Linked DNA regions of Sus scrofa. The protein of the gene in region 2 purifies or fractionates together with the protein of the main gene of each other region. This does not show direct contact. Links are inferred from orthologs where the notes say so. Each region holds a gene or a part of one and is shown on either strand. Other genes may lie near its edges.

What was found. Proteins that work in one complex are often made in the same cells at the same time.
Region 1: the proteins of AP2B1 (region 2) and EPS15 purify together in Homo sapiens (affinity purification with mass spectrometry; 3 studies listed by BioGRID and IntAct, with this or other methods). This does not show direct contact. The link is inferred for Sus scrofa from reciprocal best matches to the Homo sapiens genes AP2B1 and EPS15.
Region 3: the proteins of AP2B1 (region 2) and BMP2K purify together in Homo sapiens (affinity purification with mass spectrometry; 3 studies listed by BioGRID and IntAct, with this or other methods). This does not show direct contact. The link is inferred for Sus scrofa from reciprocal best matches to the Homo sapiens genes AP2B1 and BMP2K.

Annotation. Positions count from the first base shown.
Region 1 is NC_010448.4:160,650,517-160,658,293, reverse strand, and holds the start of EPS15 (epidermal growth factor receptor substrate 15), read right to left. Parts: upstream 4,477-7,777; 5' UTR 4,257-4,476; coding exon 4,224-4,256; intron 1-4,223. UniProt on the Homo sapiens protein: Involved in cell growth regulation. May be involved in the regulation of mitogenic signals and control of cell proliferation. Involved in the internalization of ligand-inducible receptors of the receptor tyrosine kinase (RTK) type, in particular EGFR.
Region 2 is NC_010454.4:39,901,160-39,908,327, reverse strand, and holds part of AP2B1 (AP-2 complex subunit beta), read left to right. Parts: intron 1-1,097; coding exon 1,098-1,233; intron 1,234-3,167; coding exon 3,168-3,413; intron 3,414-7,168. UniProt on the Homo sapiens protein: Component of the adaptor protein complex 2 (AP-2). Adaptor protein complexes function in protein transport via transport vesicles in different membrane traffic pathways.
Region 3 is NC_010450.4:138,785,491-138,793,112, forward strand, and holds the start of BMP2K (BMP-2-inducible protein kinase), read right to left. Parts: upstream 4,477-7,622; 5' UTR 4,395-4,476; coding exon 4,214-4,394; intron 1-4,213. UniProt on the Homo sapiens protein: May be involved in osteoblast differentiation.

The DNA of each region.
Region 1 (7,777 bases), on a different chromosome or scaffold from region 2:
CCCTGGAGTTCCCGTCATGGCTCAGTGGTTAACGAATCTGACCAGGAACCATGAAGTTGTGCGTTCGATCCCTGGCCTTGCTCAGTGGGTTAAGGATCCAGTGTTGCCATGAGCTGTGGTGTGGGTCGCAGACACAGCTCGGACCCCCTGTTGCTGTGGCTGTGGCGTTGGTCAATGGCTACAGCTCCGATTAGACCCCTAGCCTGGGAACTTCCATATGTGGCTGGGGTGGCTCAAGAAAAGGCAAAAAGACAAAAAAAAAAAAAAAAAAAAAAAAGAATCCCTGATAAAATAAGAAAACTTCAACATAAAGCTGAACTGCTGGAGTATTATTTAAAATATCATTTTATGTATGCCATCTTTCGATAAAATAAAATCTTTATCATCATCAAGAGCACGACTTGCCAGAGTTCCCGTTGTGGCTCAGCAGTAAGGAACGTGACTAGTACCCATGAGGACACAGGTTTGATCCCTGGCCCCACTCTGGGTTAAGGATCCCCCACTGCTGTAAGCCGCAGGGTAGGTCACGGATGAGGCTCGGATCTGGCATTGACATGGTGGGGTGTAGGCCAGCAGCTGCAACTCATTTCGACCTCCAGTCTGAGAACATCTATATGCCACAGATTAGGCCTTTAAAAAACAAACAACAACAAAAAAACAGCACTACTTGCCCACTCACAACTATACTGTCGAGATACCATGAAAGGAACTAGAGATTCAGAAGTAAAAGACACTGTTTCCATCCTCAAGAAATTTAGGACCTAATTAGGAAAACAGGGCAGATAATGAAAAAAAAAAAAGAAGAAAAACTACAAGGGAACAATGGACATGCCAAGCATCTAGTACACAGAGAAGTATAGCAGACAGCTTTTAAAGTCCTACAGACCTTCGTCTTCGATCTACCACTTACTAATTTATGCAAATTACTTCCCTCACTTGTAAAATGGAGTGTTAAGTGAAGTACAATTCCTGTCATATAATAACACCCAAAGAGAATCATAATAATATTATTAGATACAGGCTTAAAGAAGAAATGGGCAATCAACCAAGTTTAAAAAGAGGAAGTATCTTTTTTGTAATCTACCACCCTAGGTAAAAAAAATCACAAGCTCTTTCTCACTCAAGTTTTAACTTACAAGAAGAAAATAGAACACCTAGTGAAGAAAACTGAAATCAGAAAACACAGACGCTATATAGCACTAAAGTGCCCTAGGAAAGTCACCACCAGATCTCCAAATCATAGAATATGATCTAGAAAAAAGAATGTTAGTTGGAAAGGCCTTTAGATCAGCTAATTCAAACTCTCCAACTAAAATGTAAGCTCCATGTTTTGTTTGTCTTCAGGCTCCAAGCTGTCGTCTATTCTGTTCATTAGTATATCCTCAGTACCTAGAATAATTCCGAGCACATAATGAATGTTCAATAAATATTTGTTGAATGACTTTTAAAGCTAAGAAAACTGGCCCTGGAGACAACTCAATGACATAGTTCGCTCTTGGCAGAGCTGGGACTGAAACTAATGTTTTCATTATTCTAGCATCCTATCCTGTCTAGATGCTAGGCTATGATAATTTAGATAATTTATTCTGGTGGTGGAGGAGTTGGAAGGCCGGTTGGCAGGCAAGGGAAAGAGGAAGGAAAGAGTAAATTATTTTTCATGTGTTTTTCCCCCAATTGTCAGTTTTGCTTAATTGATGAAGGCAGAAAATTATAGACAATCCTAGCAGAGTGCATAGCACATACTAAAAACTTAACAAATACTGAATAAATGAACTTATTCCAAAACTATTATTATCTCATAACTAGAGGCAGAAACTAACTCCAGCATCTGTTTAATCTTTGTAACTGCCATAGAGTCCTTTAGGTTTTCCAGCTATTAATCACTTTCTTCCAGATGGGCAGTGAAGGAGAGAGATGAAGTGAAAGAAGTCCCTGCCCTGAAGCATACCTATGTCTGTGTGTGCTGGGGGTGGAGTGGGGGTTGGTGTGATAGTAAACAGATCAATAATGAATGTGAAACCAGGTTGCATTGTTATTTCAGATTATTTGCCTCAAGCAGATAAAAAAATCAAAAAACACAAATCAGCCAAGTTTTTAAATAACAAGGAGGCACATTATAACAAATATATTAACATTTGGGAAGGTTCTTTTTCCTGAGCCTTTACAGTATATCTTATTCTCTCTTAATGTCTTAAAATCAAAATATTCTAAATTGATTTATTTAGATTTTCAATGTAAATGAACCATCAATGTTTGTTCTCTCATATGTGAAACACTGAAGGATTATATTCCTGATTCAGTATTTACTCTGTGTACAGGTTAATATTTAAATATATAACTGCAAGAACATACTTAAATTATTTAACTGTCTATAAAACTGACAGAGCCTGAAGAAAATATCCAGAGATGAATGAGAGTAAATAGAAACTAAAAACACAGTCTTACAGGAAGAGAATAAAGTAAGCACAAAACTAGGAAGCAAATCTATACAAGTCCTCAGGAGAACAAAATCTTCAGGAAAGGAAAACTCCTGCTGGAAATGGCTAACAGAGCCAGACAGCAACAGCCTGCCTAAAGGATCTTGTTTAATGGGTATCACTAACTAGACTATTAAAAAGTGAGCGCCCACTCCAAAAAAGTGAACACTCAAAAGTCAATGTTGCCATTTCTCAAATTTCAGGAATACCCTTACAAAGAGATTTGCCACCAAGACAAAATCCCCACATTCCAAGTATTCTTCCCCATTATGTGCTTGTCAAAATAGGATAAGCAACACCAGAGTGGGAAATAAACACACTTCACTTATGAAGCTGATAATTCCTGCAAGCTGAAGTTAATTTTTATTTTACCTGAGGCACGTGTTTACAATGTGATTCCTGGTTCCTGGGGAGAATATTTTTCACTCAGTCTATCTTAGAATGCTTGGCAAAATGCCCCCACGTCTCTTGCTCCCAACACGGAAAACTCTCCAGCCCAAATGTATAACCTATCCCCGTGTTTTGCCTTAGAAGCCCTGACAAATCCAGGCCAAGGAGACTACAAGGTGGCAGGGAAATACTACAGGGCAGGCAGGAAGGCTTGCATGGGCCCCAGCACAGAGGTGCAGAGCCACCAGCTCACTCGGGAGAAAGCAGGCTGAAAAGTAAGGCTGGGGTGGGTTTGGTCAAAAAAGTGGAAAGGGACTGACAGGTGCACATCCCCTCATCATCCTGTACATCATGGAAAGATTACAACAAGCTTTCTTTACAGAGAGGGGGGCACGAGGCTCCCAGGGAGAGTGAGGTTGAGCAGTTTTACGGGAAGCACGAGGACTGGGCTCTGAAGGAAGCAGAAAGGCAAGGAAAAGACCCTGAAAACAGGTTTTGGTGAAGATTCCCCCAGGATGAGCAAGTCGTTCCCAGCACCGAGACTGGAGGAACCATCACACCTGTTAAAGGATGACTCCCTGTTATCCGCGTGGACAGCGATGTTGACCCCACAGAGTAGGAGTGGTAGCACAACTGAGGGAAAGACTGAATCTGGGGATCTGACGCCGCACGAAACCTGATCAGGAGGGGAAGAGGCTGAATCCCAGGACGGGGCCAGCAGGGCAAGGGTGCGTGCGCTCCGGTGGGATGAGACTTATTTGGAAGAGAGCTGACTTAAGGAAACTACTGGGGAAGAGAGGGCTATCGCCGGACTCCAGCAGGAAAAGGCCGGTTTAGAAAGGAAAGCCTGGCTCGGAGGGGTCCTGGGTGTCCGGCTCGGGAAGGCGAGCCTCGTGAGGGACCGGGGCTGAGCCGGGGGGGCTGAGGCTGATCCGCGCGAGCTCAACAGGAGCTCACCTGGGGAGCGTGTGGCCTGGAAGGAGGAAACTTCCTGGGTGGGTGAAGGCGGACCGGAGTGAGAGAGGTGGGCACCGACCGAGCGGGGCGAGGGGCACCGAGGGGTCGAGGGGAGTGGGCGCCGCCTGGGGCGGCGCCGGGGCGCAAACTGGCCGGGGCGGGGTCTGGGCAGCCGCCGCGAAGCTGCCGGCTCGGGATGGCGCCCTCCCCCCGTCACACTCGCACACACACACGCGCGCACACACACACACAGACACGCGCGCGCGCGCTCCGTCTCGGTCGCCCCGCCCGCCCGCCCGGGCCCGAGAGAAACTGCCCGGGTCGGTGAACCACAGGGCAGTGGGGGAGGGGGCCAGGGACACCGGCCGACCAGCCCACTGGACGGGCGGGCCGCGTTACCTGTGTCAGGGAAAGCTGGGCCGCCGCAGCCATGGTGTTTCCATCATGCACGGGAGGAGAAGGAAGGACGAGCGGACGGGGTCTCCGGGGGAGGAGGAGGCGGAGGGAGCGGCCGGAGGCGAGGCCCGGGCAGGCGGGCGTCTCCCCGAACTTCGACAACTTCCCTCCTCTCGCCCGCCCCGCCCCGCCTGGCCCCGCCCGCCCGGCGCAGGCCGCGGCGGCCCCCAAATCCTGGCGCCGGAGTTGTTGCCACCGGACCGGAGCCTACTCTTGGGGCCGCCGGAGAAAACCCGGCCCGTAAAGAAATGAAGGTGGGCGGCCTGTGAAGATAGAGGCAGAGGCCGCTCTCCATTGTCCCGAGAACTTTAAGCAAGTCACCTGCCAACTCTAAGCTTCTGCTTCTGAAAAAAGGGGGAAATTATATCCAAAGTCCAGATTGCTTGTGAGGATTAAATGAGATCTTTATAAGAAATAACAGCACTTTATATATGTCAGAATCTATGTTAGACGCTTTATTTTTTAATTGTATAAATGAAGGGACTGAGACATAAATATATTGCACAAGTGAGGAAACTGAAACACAAATAGGTGTCACACGTAAGCTGGTTCGATAGCTGGTGAAGTAGAATCCACGTCTGACTCCAAAACTTTTCATTTAACCACCTGCTATTACAGTGTGATACCAACAAAGAAGACTCTAAAGTCATTCCCTCCGGGAGCTAGAGTCTACCTGGGAGGGGGAAAGAATGCTTTCCTGACCCACTTGCTGCCTCCCACACTCAGATTGTTCCATAAATGAGCACTGGGAGCTGCTCAGGTGCCTGCCGCATTCCTAAATCCTCCCCGGGTCCACCTGACAAACTCCTCTTACGTTCTCCAGAAACAACTCAAGGATCACGTCCTGTCCTTCGCAAAGCATCTCCCGACCTCCGCAAGTCGGAGCTACACACTCCTCTTTTTAACACTTCTTCTCTACGTTATGAAGTCACCACCCTGATGACCGTTTCCATCTGTCTGCTCTCTCGACTGGGAGCCTCAATGATAAGGACTGTTTCTGATACATAGAATGTGTTAGGTGTTCATTATAAGGCCTTAATTCCTGCCAAGTCAAACATGACACAGACTACACTTTCTTTGTCTCTTTTTAGGGCTGCACCTGCTGCATATGGAGGTTCCCAGGCTAGGGGCCAAATCGGAGCTGCAGCTGCCGGCCTATGCCACAGCTGCAGCAATGCCAGATCCGAGCCGCATCAGCGAACCACACCGCAGTTCACGGCAAAACTGGATGCTCAATCTGCTGAGCGAGGTCAGGGGTCAAACTTGCACCCTCATGGTTACTAGTCAGATTCGTTTTTCACTGAGCCATGACTGAAACTCCTATACTTTCTTTTTGTTTGTTTGTTTTGCTATTTCTTGAGCTGCTCCCGCAGCATATGGAGTTTCCCAGGCTAGAGGTCCAGTGGGAGCTATAGCCAACGGCCTACGCCAGAGCCACAGGAAGATGGGATCCCAGACGCGTCTGCAACCTACACCACAGCTCACGGCAACGCCGGATCCTCAACCCACTGAGCAAGGCCAGGGATAGAACCCTCAACCTCATGGTTCCTCGTCGGATTCGTTAACCACTGAGCCACGACAGGAACTCCAAGACTACACTTTCTTATGCTGCCTTCTTCACTTGAAATAACCAACCAGTTACTTGAAATCCTAATCTATAAAGACTTGGCTTGGGAGTTCCCAATGTGGCTCAGTGGAAACGATCGACTAGGAACCATGAGGTTTCAGGTTTGATCCCTGGGTTCGCTCAGTGGGTTAAGGATCCAGCATTGCTGTAAGTTGTGGGTAGTCGCATTCTTGGCTCACATCTGGTGTGGCTGTGGCATAGGCTGGCAGTTGTGGCTCCAATTTGACCCCTAGTCTGGGAATTTCCATATGCCCTGAGTGCAGCTCTAGAAAGCAAAAGCGGGAAAAAAAAAAAAAAAAAAAAGACTTGACTTGGAGTATGTGCCTGCCATCTACTTCAAGAAGCCTTCTAGGAAATCACACCCCACCTTAGCTGCTCTGATATGATCCTAACACTCTGACTTGTTTTTAAGAGTTAGTTGAGAGGCTTTTCTTCTTTTTTTTTTTTTTTTTAATTTGCTTTTTAGGGCCACACTGGTGGCATATGGAAGTTTCCAGGCCAGGGGTCAAAGTGGAACTACAGCTGCTGGCCTATGCTACAGCCACAGCAATGCCAAATCCAAGGTCTTGTCTTGGACCCACACCACAGCTCATGGCAATGCCAGATCCCCGACCTGCTAGCAAGGCCAGGAATGGAACCCAAATCCTCATGGTTACTAGTCAGATTCGTTTCCACCTCGCCACAATGGGAACTCCTGAGGGGGGTTTTCTATATCCCCACTAGACTGTAAAACCCATGAGGACAGAAGGCCAACTCCCAACTTCATCCCTCTCACAATTTGACCTAGCACAGAGAAGGCATCAGTAAATGTTTTTGCCAAGAATGGGTCTTCCTTTCTCAATCGTAATGGCTTCCCACAACAATGAAACACAACTCTATCAGGCCCACACCCCTATTATCATAATGGTCTCCATCTGATGCACCCTGAGGACCCACTGAACAAGGCCCAGGATGGAGGCAGCCCCACAAAAGGTTTTAGACCTTAACACCACAGGCAAACCATCCCAGAAATGCCCTCAGAAATTCCTGACTCTACTCAGGTCCCTTTTTACAAGGTCCATCCAACAAAGAGCCACTACTATGCTGGTCTCGTGAGCAACCACGTCTTCAAGAGAGTCTTCTTTGATCTCTTTTTGCTGTTATTCTTTTTAACTTAAGGGAGAAGGAGAAATACAATTTTAAATTATTCCCCACTCTCCTGGTACATTTATCAGCTCTAACCACCACTGATGTTTCTACTCTACTTTTCTAATTTACATCATCACTTTTGGACTTCACGACAATTCTGAAATGTAATAATCACCATACTCATTTTATAGATGAGGTAACTAAAGGTCCCAGAGGGTAGGTGATTCTCCCACGGTTATAAGCCAATAACCAAAATAGTACAGCATAGTGGAATAAATAGGGCTTGGACCTCAGAAAGTCCAGGTTCTAATCCTGTTTCTACTATTTACTATTCCTACAACCTTAGGATTATTGTGAGGCTGTATGAGATAACATGTATGGAAATACCTAAAGATGTAGATACATGGGTTTAGTTAAGAAATCTTAAAGTCATAGGATAAATGGCTTTTGGGAGTACAGATTCACTTGCTGTTCAAGGAGACTCTTCCAAACCATACGAGATACAAGATATTGCTCTTGGTGACAGGGACACTTGGGAGTCCCTGGTATATAGAGTTTCCTAGAACTCAGTGTGGAGTAGTGAGGAGAATATTTGAGTCAATGTATAGTATTAGACAAATCATTTACTCTGTTTGAGCCTCCACTCCTCATGTATTAAAAAATGAGCCAATTGATGTGGAAAATTTGAGGAACTGTAAGGAATCATTATTGTGTGATTTATATTAAGTCAAAAGCAACACAT
Region 2 (7,168 bases):
GGTGTGGGTTTGATTCCTGGCTTAGGAACTTCCATGTGCTGCAGGTACAGCCCCCCAAAAAAAGGATACCTAAAGATGCACACTAAAATATTATATATGAGATATTATGTCTAGGATTTATTTCCCCCCTTTTTACAGCCACACCTGTAAGCATATGGAAGTTCCCAGGCTAGGGGTCAAATTGGAGCGCAGCTGCAAGCTTATACTACAGCTAGAGCATCTCAAGGTCTGAGCCACATCTTTGACCTGTACTGCAGCTTGCAGTGATGCTATATTGTTAACCCACTGAGCAAGGCCAGGGATCAAACCCGAATCTTCATGGACAGTATTTTGGATTCTTAACTTGCTGAGCCGCAACAGGAACTCTGTCTAGGATTTTTAAAAAAAATCGTTAAGAGCAACTAAATGAAGTAGGGACTGGGGGATTCTCTCAACTGAGTTGTATATGAAACAAGATTGGGTATGTATCATTACTTGTAGCTGGGTGATTGATACATCAGATTCATTATACTGCTTTCATAGTAAAATTTTTCTTTAAAATTTATTTTTAGACATCTTCTTGAGACCATTACTATTTTTTTTTTCATGGTGCAGTGACCGAAACTGTTGCAGTGATAATGCTGAGTCCTTAATCCACTGAGCCGCAAAAGAACTCCTATAATTTCTTTAGTAATTTATTTCTGTGATAATTATCACTGCAGGGAGATTTGTCCTTGCATCAAATCACTTTATAAATTAAGGCCATTTTGGAGTTCCCGCCGTGGCTCAGTGGTTATTGAATCCAACTAGAAACCATGAGGTTGCAGGTTTGGTCCCTGGCCTTGCTCAGTGGGTTGAGATCCGGCGTTGCTGTGAGCTGTGGTGTAGGTTGCAGATTCGGCTCTCATCCCGAGCTTCTGTGTTTCTGGTGTAGGCCAGTGGCTACAGCTCCAGTTAGACCCCTAGCCTGGAAACCTCCATGTGCCGCGGGAGTGGCCCTAGAAAAGGCAAAAAAGACCAAAAAAAAAAAAAGAAAAAGAAAATTAAGGCCATTTCTTTGTGTTCTATCCAACAGCTTGGCACAAACATCTGTTCATGTTCCCTTTCTCTCTTCTCAGCTCTCTGTTTCCAGATGTAGTGAATTGTATGCAGACTGACAACCTGGAACTAAAGAAGCTTGTGTATCTCTATTTGATGAACTATGCCAAGAGTCAGCCAGACATGGCCATCATGGCTGTCAACAGCTTTGTGAAGGTAACTCTTTCCCAGGGATTCAAGAGCAGTGTCTTTTCAGAAATGTCTCTTGATATAGTAAGTGTCTGCATTGCAAATAAGCAACCTCTGTTCCAAAAGAGAGCCTCTAGAGAAGTACTGGCAATGAGTAGGAATGTTCGTGTTTTAAGCATTCTGTGTGCCAGCGTTTGTCATCCAGTTCAAACCATATGGTGAGCCTTCTGTCAGCAGGGCTCGGTGCATTTTTGCCAGATGGGAGAAGAAAACCAGGTGAAACCTCACTGCTTTGCCTTCCAAGGCTAACAAAGGTTGAGCATGTCTTTGTAGTATCAGTATCTTGGGGCTTTACCTATTTTATCTCAGTAGAACTATGCTTATGGGTCAGAAGAAATGGAAACTGCAGGAACTGCTATTTAATTTTGTTTTATTCAGTAGGTCTTAGAACAGTTGATGAACTTTTTTGTCATTATGGAAATTTTCAAGCATCTTCAGGTAGAGGGAATAGAATAATAAATTGCTAAGTATCAGTCTTGTAGTTTCAATAGTCACCTGCCTGTGACCAGCCTTATTTAACTTATACTCTCCATACATGCTTCCCTGACTCCCCTCCTTTCCTACTGGTTACTTTTACAGTAAATCCCAAACATATGTAACTATAGTACCATTGTCACATCTTTAAAACCTGACCAGTAAGAAATTCCTTGGAATTCTTTTGCAACATAGCAGGGTTAAAGATACGGCATTTTCACTGCAGTGGGTTTTGTTGCTGCTGTTGTGTGGCCAAAAAAGAAGAAGAAGAAAGTAAATTTCTTAGTATTATTAGATATCAAGAGTCAAATTTGTCCTATCATTAGATTTGATAAACATAATAATGAGGTTGTTCGTATTAGTTTTTTTTTTTTTTTTTTTTTGGCCACATCCGCAGTACATGGAAATTCCCAGCCCAGGGATTGAATCCAAGCCACAGCTGTGGCATAGCTTGCGACACCAGATCCTTTAACCTACTGCGCCAGGTCAGGGATCAAACTGCTCCTCTGCAGTGACTCAAGCCGCTGCAGTCAGGTTCTTAACTGACTATACCACAGTGGAAACTCCAGTTTTTAGTTTTTTTATTTATTGTTTTTTTCCTCTGTTTGGAATTCAGTTTGCATTAAAAGCAAAAATCAGACATCATTTCTAAAATGAGCTTGTACTAAACTGTTTTGAAAAATAAACAGCATGCTTTCCTCCTTAAAAAGCAGAACCAACCTAACATTTCTTTCTGGTGATGCACAGGTGGATGATAGTACCAGAAAGAATTTGGTGTCCATTTTTTGGAAGTTAGCATGTTCACAGGTTTATAATGTTTAAAGAAATTTCTTAATGTAGGACAGTTTAAGGGTTGTTCCTTCATGATAAGTATTCTATTCATATTTGACACAGATGCTAGGAGAGGAGAATGTATGTAATCAGGGTCTCAGAGGGCCCTCTCTTCTGCTTCACTCAAGGAACCCAAATCACCTTCTATATCTCTTTTGCTTTCGTGGCTGTAGGCCCCAGGTAACCAGTCCTCTTTCTCCCTACTTGGTATTTGTTGAGTGGGACACATCTTTCCAGTTTCTAATTTTTTCCTGTACCAGAATACAAGCCCTAAGACCTTTTCTATTTATAGGACAGGTCCACTAATGGCTCTGGGGGTGGTAGCATCAGCTAAGCTTTCTGCTCAGCTCTGAAATGAAACCTACAGGACACTTCTTCATTGTGTATATAAAAGTTAAATGAATTCCTAACCTAAACTCTTAGGTAGGCAACTAAGACTGTACCTTGGAAGGGAATGGTCTAAGAGATGTGAGTTCTGATGTGGAATGTAACTGGAAACCTACATTAAATGAATATTCTGTTGTGGCTTACGTACATCTGACTGTTTATTTTTAGTCACCCTGTACACCTATAGTTGTCAGTGATTGTTTTTTTAGGACTGTGAAGATCCCAATCCTCTGATTCGGGCCTTGGCAGTCAGAACCATGGGGTGTATCCGGGTGGACAAGATTACGGAATATCTCTGTGAACCCCTCCGCAAGTGCTTAAAGGATGAAGATCCCTATGTTCGGAAGACAGCAGCAGTCTGTGTGGCAAAACTCCATGACATCAATGCCCAGATGGTTGAAGATCAGGGATTTCTGGATTCTCTGCGGGACCTCATAGCAGATTCAAATCCAATGGTAATAGTTTCTGCTTTTATAAGAGAGTGGTATTTAAAATGAGTCCCTTTATTTGTGTGTGTGGGGGGGGCGGGGGTGCGGGCGTTGTTTGTTGGGGTTTTTTTGGCCAAGGCGTGTGGAAGTTCCTGGTGACGATGCCAGATTTTTAACCCACCAGGCTACCAGAGAAGTCCAGAATGGGTCCCTTTGAAAAATATGTTTAGGAGTTCTCTGGTGGGCCTATCAGTTAAGGATGCAGCATTGTTACTGCCGTGGCTTGGGTAGGATCCTTGGCCTCGGAACTTCCAAAAGCTGTGAATACAACCAAATAAATAAATGAAAGAATAAAATAAAATGTCCATCATTGAAAAGGATGTTTAGGAATTCCTGCTGTGGCACAGTGGTTTAATGATCTGGCTTGCTGTGGCACAGTGGTTGCTGGTCCAGTCCCTGGTCTGCTGCGGCAGATTAAGGATCTGGCATTGTTGCAGCAGTGGCGTAAGCCTCAAATGCAGCTTGGATTCGATCCCTGGCCTGGGAACTTCCATATACTGTGGGTATGGCCAAAAATGGAAAAAAATTAAAAAAAAAAAAAAAGAATGTTTAAAGTACGTCTTGTCATAGGCTAGCCCTGTGAAGCATGACTTATGTGTGTCCCACAGTCTAACACCCTACATGTTTCTGAGCGGAAATCCAAGCATGAAAATATAGGTTTTGTTTTTTTTTTTTAATTGAAGTATAGTTGTTTACAATATTGTTAGTTTACAGGAAAGTAATTGTTTTATAAGTATATATTTTTTCAGATTATTTTCCATTATAGATATTTACAAAATATTGAATACTGTTTTCTGTATTATGCAGTAAATCCATCCTGCTTATCTGTTTTATGTATAGTAGTTTCTATCTATCAATCCCATACTTCTCTAATTTATCCCTCTCCCCCTCCCCCTTTAGTAACCCTGGGTTTGTTTTTTATGTCTGAGTCTGCTTCTGTTTTATATATAGGATCATTTGTATTATTTTTCAGATTCCACATGTAAGTGGTATATTTGTCTTTTTTTTCACTTAATATGATATTCTCCAGGTCCATCCATGCTGCAGCAAATGGCAATATTTCATTTCTTTTTTTGACTGAGTACTATTCCTGTGTGTGTGTGTTTTCACATCACATCTTAAACCACTCATCTTTAATGGCCATTTCGGTTATTTCCCTGTCTTGGTGATAAGTAGTGCTACTATGAACACTGGGGTGAAGGGTCTTTTTTTTTTTCTTTTTTCTTTTTTGGCAGTCCTGCAGCATATCGAGTTCCCGGCCAGGGATCAGATCTGATCCTATGCTGCAGCTGTGGCAACAGCAGATTGTTAACCCACTGTGCGGAGCCAGAGATTGAAGCTGCATCCCAGGACACTGCCGGTCCTGTGTGCCACAGCGGGAACTCCTAAAATATAAGGGTCTTATAGCAAATCTTTGTATCATACTTACTTCTCTATTTGTTCAGAAACAAATTTCTTTCATTACTGTCTTAAAGAAGTTTTACCTTAAGTTTATATCAGTTTTTAAAAAGATTTCTTCAGATGGATATTTGTGGTCTTTTCTGGTGGTGTGGGAATACAACTGAATAAAAGTTATCTTTATTGCTTAATTATTGTAGTCCATTCTTCTACAGAGTACTAGGACAATTCTCTTTTTTTTTTTTTTTTTTTTTTTTTTTTTTTTTTTTTTTTGGTGGGGGCCACGTCCAGGGTATATGGAAGTTCCCAGGCTAGGGGTCAAATCGGAGCTGTAGCTGACAGCCTACACTGCAGCTACAGCAATGCGAGATCTGAGCTGTGTCTGCAACCTACACCACACAATGCCAGATCCTTAACCCAATGAGTGGGGGCCAGGGATTGAACATGCAGCTTCATGGATACTTGTTGGATTCATTACCACTGAGCCACAGTGGGAACTCCTAGGACAATTTTTTATAGCCAACCTGATTATTTTGTGAATGTTTGGCAGTCAGAACCTAATCCTTAATGTTTGGGACCTTTTTATTTCTCCTATTGACATTTAGAATTTGGCTGTATAGTGAATGGAGCAAGTCTCAAAGTGGTACGTTGGCTCTGCTAGTAACTGAAGATCATTTGAATTGAGTGATTGGTCATTAAGTATCATTACTGAGAAGATGGAGGAATTGAGTCCCTGTCTCTCCCCTTTTTCCTAATGCATACTTCTCTTGGAGGTGAATAACATTGAGCTATTCAGTGGGTAGCCTGGGAATATTTCACTGTTGAACTTTTTGAATTAGAGAATTGGAATTTGCCATGATGTAGGCCTTGGGTTTCACTTGCAAAATAACCTGCTCAGATGGTTCATCTTACTCTTTGGGTAGCCTTGGCTTCTATTTATTATCTTTCAAATTTGGTGTCTAGGTCAAAGGATGAAGCAAGCTATAGTTTTTTAAAGTTGCTGTGGTACTACCTACCATTAGAAATCCTATAGCTACTTGCTAGGCACAGAGGCAATACCGGTGTGTATGCGCATAAACCGTGACTTTTAACAGGGTGTAATTACCACCAGTATTAGAAGATTCAACCCTATCTTTTTCCCTCAAGCAGCGCTGTGTCACCTTTTTAGAATTACATAAAGAGGAGTTCCCCTTGTGGCTTAGCGATAACAAACCCGACTAGTATCAGACTAGTATCATGAGGACTCTGGTTGATCCCTGGCCTCACTCAGTGGGTTAAGAATCTGGCATTGCCATGAGCTGTGGTATAGGTTGCAGACACTGCTCGAGTCTGGCATTGCAGTGGCTGTGGTTTAGGCCAGTAGCTACAGTTCCAATTTGACCCCTGGCCTGGGAACTTCCGTGTGCTGTGGATGTGGCCCTAAAAAGACAAAAAAAAAAAAAAGTCTGTAAAGAAACAATTTTATAAGGCAGTAATATCTATTTTTAGAAAATTTAGCTGCTACTAAGTTGTGTTTTTGCCATTGATTTTGATTCACTGTTATTTTGAGCAAATGTCTGAAATTTTCTGAGAACAAATGAGAAGATGGAAAATATTTGGGCTTCACTTCCTAAGTTTTGGGCATCCAGATGAGCAGATCTCATGTACCCTTTGGAAACATTTAAAATTTTCTGTGGGGCTGTGAATGTGGAGTGGAGTGAGGTAAGAATGGGTTCTAACTTACTCCATGCAATTCCAGTTCAGGGAGAAAAAGGAATCTTCAGTGTAAAAGTTTTTTTTTTTTTTTTGTCTTTTTGCTATTTTTTTGGGCCACTCCCGTGGCATATGGAGGTTCCCAGGCTAGGGGTCGAATCAGAGCTGTAGCCACCGGCCTACACCAGAGCCACAGCAACGCGGGATCCGAGCCACGTCTGCAACCTACACCACAGCTCACGGCAACGCCGGATCGTTAACCCACTGAGCAGGAGCAGGGATTGAACCCGCAACCTCATAGTTCCTAGTCGGATTCGTTAACCACTGCGCCACGACGGGAACTTCCAGTGTAAAATTTTTAAAGCAGAACCTATAAAATTAGATGGTCATTGGTAAGGAACTAACTGAGGTTTTTTTTTGGCACCCAGGTAGCACTTAGACATCTTTATCCAGATCACTTGAGAGGTTGGGGCAATTTTGGAACAAGCCATTATAATATATCTCATTTATTCAAAGTTTTCATTATAATAGCCTGGTTTTTGAATAGTCCATAGTATTCAAGAGTGTATGTATGCCATTTAGTGATTTTTCATTATGGGAATTTTCAAACATATTCAAAATTAGGAGTTCCT
Region 3 (7,622 bases), on a different chromosome or scaffold from region 2:
CAATATAAATTGAATCAGTTATTCTCTCATAAAACTCTATGTTTTCTTCGGACAGTTATCAAAATTGCTAATTACGTTTACCTAATTCTGTTTAACATTTATCTTCTAACTAGACTCTAAGTTCCATAAGACCAAAGAAATAGCTGGGTTTTGTTTTTTTCCTCTTTTGCATAAATAGCACCTAGTACAGCCTGGCATTGTTTTTAAAGGGCATTTAATAAAGTCATGGAATAGTAATGGTTGTTGATATCTTTGTTAAATCGTACCCTTCTACTCTCTTTGTTATCTCTAGGACCTTCAACTTACAAGTTACTGGGTAGCCACAAAAAATTTCTGCAAATCAGATACCATGCTTAAATGCATCATTTTTTACTGATTTATACCTCAAAATAAAATGTATTTTCCTATATTCCTGTAAAATTAACAATGAAAACTGACATTTTACCTAAATTCACTTATTCTACTCCAAGCAATTAACTGAGAGCTACCGAGCTACTTTTACAGAACTCTGGAGTAAACTCCTGGCCTCCAATTACTGACAGTGCTAACAACCCCCATGGACCCCAATGGATGTGTCAGAAAGTCCTACTCACCCAGTCATACTCAAAATACCACTCCTATCCAGCCCCATAACCTCATGATTAGATGACGTCAACAAATTATGGATGGTGTCCTGGTCTCTATGCTTCCCATTTAAGTCCACATTTTACCAAAGATGTTTAGGAAATAAAAGTCCCCTACCCGAGAACCCATTCCTCCCATTATCCATCAAAATTAGTCTTCTGACTAGCACTGAAGGCCTACAGAGGCATGTCATCCAAAAGCCAGTCCTACGTTTTAGTAAATACTTAGGTTATACTGTATTATTTGTGCTGGACAATCTGACACTGTTTCATGCTAAAATTTACATGTAGCTCTATCTCATCTGTACAGCCCAAAGCTGAATCTGCACTCCTAAAACTAAACTGTTTTTGAGGAAAACGCCCCACATACCATCAGGCCTCTGAACTTTTGGCAGGAACTAAAAAGGTGCAATTCGTCAGCATTTTCAAACATACTACAACATATATTTCAGAGAGAAAACTACTCCAACAGGTTAGTTACAACTACAACACAAGCATACCCGAGAATCCTGGTTTTATAATATATCTAAGACATAAACATGCATGTGCATGGATATACACATACATACATACTGACACATACACACATATATAGTTGATCCTCATAATCCGAGGAGTTCGTATCTGCAAATGTGCTTACTTGCTGAAATTTACTTGTATCTCTGAAATCAATACAATGACACTTTCACAGTTATTTGCAGACATGCGCATAGGGGTGAAAATTTTGAGAAGGCCAGCTGGAATCCAGGAGGTATTGCTCTGCTCTGTTTCAGCTCTCATACTGTAACCAAGTGCTCTTTTCAAGTTCTATGTCATATCATGCTTTTCTCTTTCTTGTGTTCTGCAATAGTGATTCTGTTGTTTAAAATCGCCCCCAAGCACAGTGCCAAAGTGCTCCCTACTTAGTGTTCCTAAGAGCAAGAGGGCTATGATGTCCCTTACCAAGAAAATTATTAGATAAGCTTCATTTACGCATGAGTTACAGGAGTACTGGCCATGAGCTCAATGCTAATGAGTCAACAACTTATGTCAAACAAGGTGTCTCTAAACAGGAAACACACATAAAACAAGGTTATAAACTGGTTGACACAAATGTTGCCAGCAGAGGCTAGCAGTGCCCTAACACTGTATTAACCCTAGGAGCAATGCCTCAGTAGTCACTAAATCACTATATGGCAACTTTATAAAACATAACTACTGTGAATAACGAGAATCAAATGTGTATGGGGGGGAGGGGCAGGCAGCGCTCACACCAGGTTTCCTGAAGATTCAAAGACACTGCAGAGGCCATTCTGAGCAAGCTGCCTGTGTCTGCAGTAGCCTGGCAAACACTCCTCAGGACACATCACCTGCAGAGTCTTGGCTCGTTTAAATAACACTGACACAAAAAGCAAAAATGTAAAATCTACTGTTTTTGCTTCGACCTCTCTCAACCTCCACCCCTCTCACCACTCAATGCTCTACTTCTCCTCAGTTCAGGTTCTCTACACTCTCCTACCTTTTCACAAGCACTTGCCCGAGTTTTATAAACGGGCACATGTGTCTGTAAATTCCTGAACGATCATTCTAGAACGTAAACCACACTGGTGCTTAAACAGCTTGTCTAAATCACAGCATTACTTATTTGGAAAGAAGGGAAAACATTAAGCATCTGAAATAATATATTGTCAGGATCCAAAAGTAAACCGAACATAGATCCTTTGGATTGTGTGCGTGCGGAGAAGAGGATACACAAGGGAACAAAGCCTAGGCCTCAGCCTTCCCTCCAGGGAAGCCCAAATGCCTGGTTCCAGGTGCTGGGGTGCAGAGTGGGGAAGTGCCATCTTCCCCAAGAATTTGCTCAAGCCCTGCTTCCTCCTAGCACTTAATTAGTGATTTTTCCAAGCGGAAGAATGACAAATCAATGGCAAAAGTCAGTGAAACACTCTAACAGTAATATTAGTTACTGAAAGCATTTTTTGTGGTTGAGTGAGTACTCCCTTTTTGAAATTCATTTTTATTCTCATTTTCCAAAATTATTTATTTCTATGGAAAACAGTGTGCTTAGGGTAGTGATAGGACATGCTTGGAGCAGGGGCAGAAGCTACAAATCCAAACTCTAGTTTGATGAAATGTCAATGATTTCATTCTATTAAATAAAAGACCCATCTGGGATTTACTGAAGTGAAGTGAGTGTAGTATTACTCAAGCCACACTTGAATCAGTTACAACTCAAAGACAGAAGTACAGCATGTGAGCTAATAGCCATGTCTTCTAAAAACCTACAATTCAATCTAAATCAACACTTGAAAGTCACGTATAATAAAGAGCTAGGAAATTTTACAGCATAGTAAATCTGTCCATCAATGCCAATTACCATACATTCATCACTGGAGAAGCTAAGGATCCTCCTTCCACCGCTCTAAGGCTCAGCTAGGCTCCTAATGAGGGGCCAGAGCTTGCAAAACAATGATGTTCATCCCTGAATAATCAAGATTTCTCTTCAGAACAGTTCGTAGACAAAAACATTCAGGGTTTTCTCTCGCACTAATTCGCTACTGTTTACAGCATTTCAAAAAACACAAGTGGAATCTCAGTCTACTGTCTTCAAACCACATCAACACCTCTCAGAGAACCAAAGCTACTGTCCTCGATTTCTTCTCTCAATCTCCGAAATTAACAAGGGCCACTTATCAACAAATTATTTCTCGTGAAGTTTTAAAAGTACGTATTTTGTAATATCGGTCTGCGATTAAAACTCAAAAGTCAATGAAGCATGCAACAAGGCAGTATTTCCTACAAGCCAATTTATACAAGAAATAAAAAAACTACAGGATTTTTTTTAATGGAGTTAAATAACTTTTTCTGTAAGCCGACTTGCAGCTGTTGACAGAGCCTAGTAAAAGATAAGGTGGGATCGAACACAAAACTTCTCCAGTGAAAGTTAACCTGCTTTCATATCGCCTTTTCAACTACCGCCAGAGACTTACTGAAATGGTAGGACTAGCACCTTGTCTCAGAGAAGCTTCTAAATAACAAAGATAAGTGGACTCCAAGTTTACCTGCTTCCCCAAAGCAACCTGCTAACTGAAGCTGGGGCAAAGTATCACCTCCATCCCGCGAACACACAGGAATAAATCGTTTTTCACCTGATGACTGAGCAGCAGCAAACAGGCTTAACGCGCGGGCTGCAGGGTCCTGCGCCCGGCGGCGCGGGTGGAGAGGCCAGCGCATGACACCCGCCTGAGCCACAGCTGGGGGAGAAGAGCCCCAATCTTGCTCGGTCTGACCCTCAAATGAGTCACTGGTCCAATCACGACACCACAGCCCTCGCGCTAAGACGTTTCCTATGTATTTCCCTGCGTGGAGAAGGACTGAAAATGACTTAAACTCGTAATCAAAGAACCGTGCACCGGCCAGCGCGGCCGGCGGCGAGAAAAGCCGGCTTAAGAGCGAGACCTCGAGCTACTCTAAGAGCCTCGCTGGCCGGGCAGGAGGCAGAAGGGGGAGCCGAGGGAGCGAGCAGAGAAGCGGGCGGCGACCGGGAGAAGCTACCGCCACACCCCAGCCCTCCCTCACCTGCCGGCCCGCGCCTCCCCGGGCGCCCATACCTTCGGCCAGCGACTCCTCCAGGGTGACCTGGTAGCGGCCGACCGCGAACACGCGGACCCCCACGGACGAGCTCCCGGAGCCGGAGCCGAAGGCGGCCCCGGCCCCGCCGGCCCCGCCACCCGCCGCTCCGCCGCCGCCGCCGCCGCCCTCCGACTTGGGCATTCGAGAGAACTTCTTCATGGTCCCGCCGGCGCGCCGGAGGGCGCGGGGCGCGCGCAAGGGCGAGCGAGAGGGCGAGCGCCCGGCCCGGCGTCCGCGCGGGGCCGCCGGCCCTCGTCCGTCCGAGCGTCCGTGCGCGCTGCGGCCCGCCGAGCCTCACATTCCGCGCGCCCCGAGCGCAGCGCCCCGGCCCCTGCGCCCGCTCCGCGGCTCCGCTGCAGCTGCCGGGCTCCCGCAGAGGGCGGCGAGGAGGGCGGGGACGGGGCGGGGCGCGAGGGGGCGGGCCCGAGCGCGGGGGCGCCGCCGCCAGTGCCCCCGGCGCCCTCGCCGCCGAGCTGGGCGCCCGCAGCGCGAGCCCCGCGGGAGGGCGCGAGGGAGGGAGCTGGGGAAGGGGCGGGGCGGCCGGGCCTCCGGGGAGCGGGCGGGACTCCTCGCGCCGCACGGCCTCTGGAGCGCAGTCCGCGCCGCCGCCGCCGCCCCGGCGGAACCGGAGCCGCCCGCCACTCCCAGCCGTTGGCGGCGCGGCGCCCCTGCCAGCCGCTCTCTGAGGCCGGGCACCCCGCGCAGGCGCGCTGTCTGCGCCGCCGGAAGTGACGGTTCCGGCTCTTGTCACGTGGAGGGGGACGGGAAGGAGGACGGTGGGGGTTGGGGTGCGGGCGATGTCTGGGGTCCCGGCCGGGAGGGTTCGGCCGGACCTGTGGGGTCCCGGCTTCGAGCAGGGAGGTGACCCGGTGACCGGTCTTCTCGCCGCCTGTGCGGCCGGGGCGGGATGTCTCTTCTCGCCTAGGAGTTGGTATGTTGCTCTGGGGGCTTGAAAGTGCCGCCACCAACTTTACCCCCGCGAAGGAACTTCTCGCTGCAGTGCCGAGCCGCTTTTCCAGACCGGCTCCCCTGAGAATCTTCTTCCGCTCGCCCACCCCGGAGCGTGGGAGGTGGGAGCAGCGCGGAGCGAGAGCGGATTCCAGTAACCCGACTTCGGAAGCCGTGCTGCCGCCCTCTGTAGCAGACGCTTGTGCTCGGGAGCGTTTTGCGGTCTATAGGGTACTTTCAAAATCTCATGTGCGCTGTGCAACAGCCCTGTGAAGTATTCGGAACAATTGTTAAGTCCGTTTAGAGACCTTTCATCACTTCTGGCCCGGAGAGCTTAACGGACTCGGGGAAGGTCACATGGCTGGCTTTTGATGGAGCTGCAACTTCAAGGGCCCGCCTTTGATACTTCGTTTCATTCGTTGGGCCGTTTGGAAAAAGGAGGTTAGGGTCAGAGCGTTGGAAAACGGCAAATTTAGGACTGTTGGGAAGCAAAACCAGCTACCCGGTCCCGTCCCCCGCCCGTTAACAAAGAGATTTGCACATTAAAAAAAGAAAGAAAAAAAAAAAGCCCCGTTGCATCCATTTCGGAAACTGCAGTAGTCTCCATGCCTGCGGGGTGAGGCCTGCAAAAATGAGTATGGTGTTAAGACGTTTAGGATGGTAAGGAGTGTGAAATCACAGAGCCTGTGTAACTAGAGCGCCCCAGTCCCAAATCCAGCCTGCCCCCGCCCCCGCCCGGTATGAATAGAGGCCCGCTGTGGCCAAAGGTTCCATTTCTTAAGAAAAGCCAGGAATCTTCTGGATGTTTTTGTAATACGGCATTTCCCAAATTTTTTAAATGTAGGTCAAATAAACTGTACGTGCAGGACGCCAGTGCGTGCCTTCTGTGAAAGCAGATGAATGTCGTTCTGTCCCCACTCCTATTTCTTTATCCAATTTTAAATGAGATACAGGCAGAAACGTTAGAAAATGTGCTTAGGCAAAAGACTCAGCTTCAAATCTTCCATTTTTCCTTCTTGTCTGCTATTTCAAGAGAAGCTATTTCTGCCAACATTAAAACAGTGCTCTGCATTTAGGCATTTTTGCTGCATAACCCACTAAAGCTAAAATTCTTCATCCAGAGACCTGATCTTTAAAACACATTCCTGCTCAATGGAAGTTAGATTTTATGTCAGATAATTGATACGGTGTGACAATTGGGGATTTCCATTTAGAAATAAGCTGACCATTCTTACTGTGGGGATTCACTGTGGATTTGCATTCCTACAACATTTGAATTATATTTTTCAAGCAGGATAACTAAGAAATTTAGTCATTTCGTACAGTTCAGAAGTGCAAACAACCTAACAGGCACAGTGGGAGCCTAACATGATTTCACCTGATGACAACACAAGAGTAAGTAAAGTCTCCTGTGATCAGTTTGGGAGCCAATTTACCACAACAGCTGTGGTTTAAAAAAAAAAAAAAAAAAAAAAAAAAAATTCCTTCTCTGTAGCCATATATATAGCTGACTTTGGATATGGAAGTTGATCATTAGTTTAAGGCGTAGGCCCCCTTTCAAAAATTATGGCTAATACTGAGCAATTCGTTCTTTAATTTTTCACGAAGCACACAGTAAAAATGTGAATATCATCTGATCTCAGAATGTTAACTCCACAATGTTCTACCACAAACCTATTGCTGATAAGGAAGCAAAAACATTGTATTGCTGATAACAACAGGGCCACGAATTTACTCACAGCACCAAAAGATGCTGACATTAACTGTCAGATTCAACTTTGTGAGTTAAAACGGGTGCCCTTCAACCAATGTGTAGGGAGAAAACGAGATACTGATCAGTGCAAAACTGTACTGAGAAGTCCAGTCTTTTAGTTCTGTACTCACTATTAGGCCATGGCTGTGCAAGAACATTCATGTGGGTTTCCTATTGGAAAAATAACACCTCTAGAAAAATAGGGATATTTTGACCATCTTAAACACTGTCATTAGGAGACTTACAGTAAGAAAACACATATTTTTGATCTTTCAAATGTTGACAGCTCTAGTGCTGTAAGAATAGTTGGGAACTAGCCACAAGATAAAGACTTTTAAAAAAAAGCATACTGCTTCAGTCTGCAAAGTTTCATGTTACAATGTACTAATAAAGTCATAGATCATTGCAGCCAACATCTGAGATCCTTGAACAGAAAGGAATTTGACAGGGAAGGGACATTTTTGTCTTCGACTGCAAAAAGCTCTAATCCTTCTTTTTACTTTGACCTCATCTCTTTTGCACTAAGATGGCTCTCAAAGACATATGTGAAGTAAAGACTGACGCAGGTGAAATGAAATATGCCTGTCCCCAAAGGCTCGTTCCAGTGCTGTCATTGCCTGTGTAAGTCATCTCTTCCAATGCCCAATGAGTGATTTTTCCTCACAAGTCACTGTTTTCCTTTTATG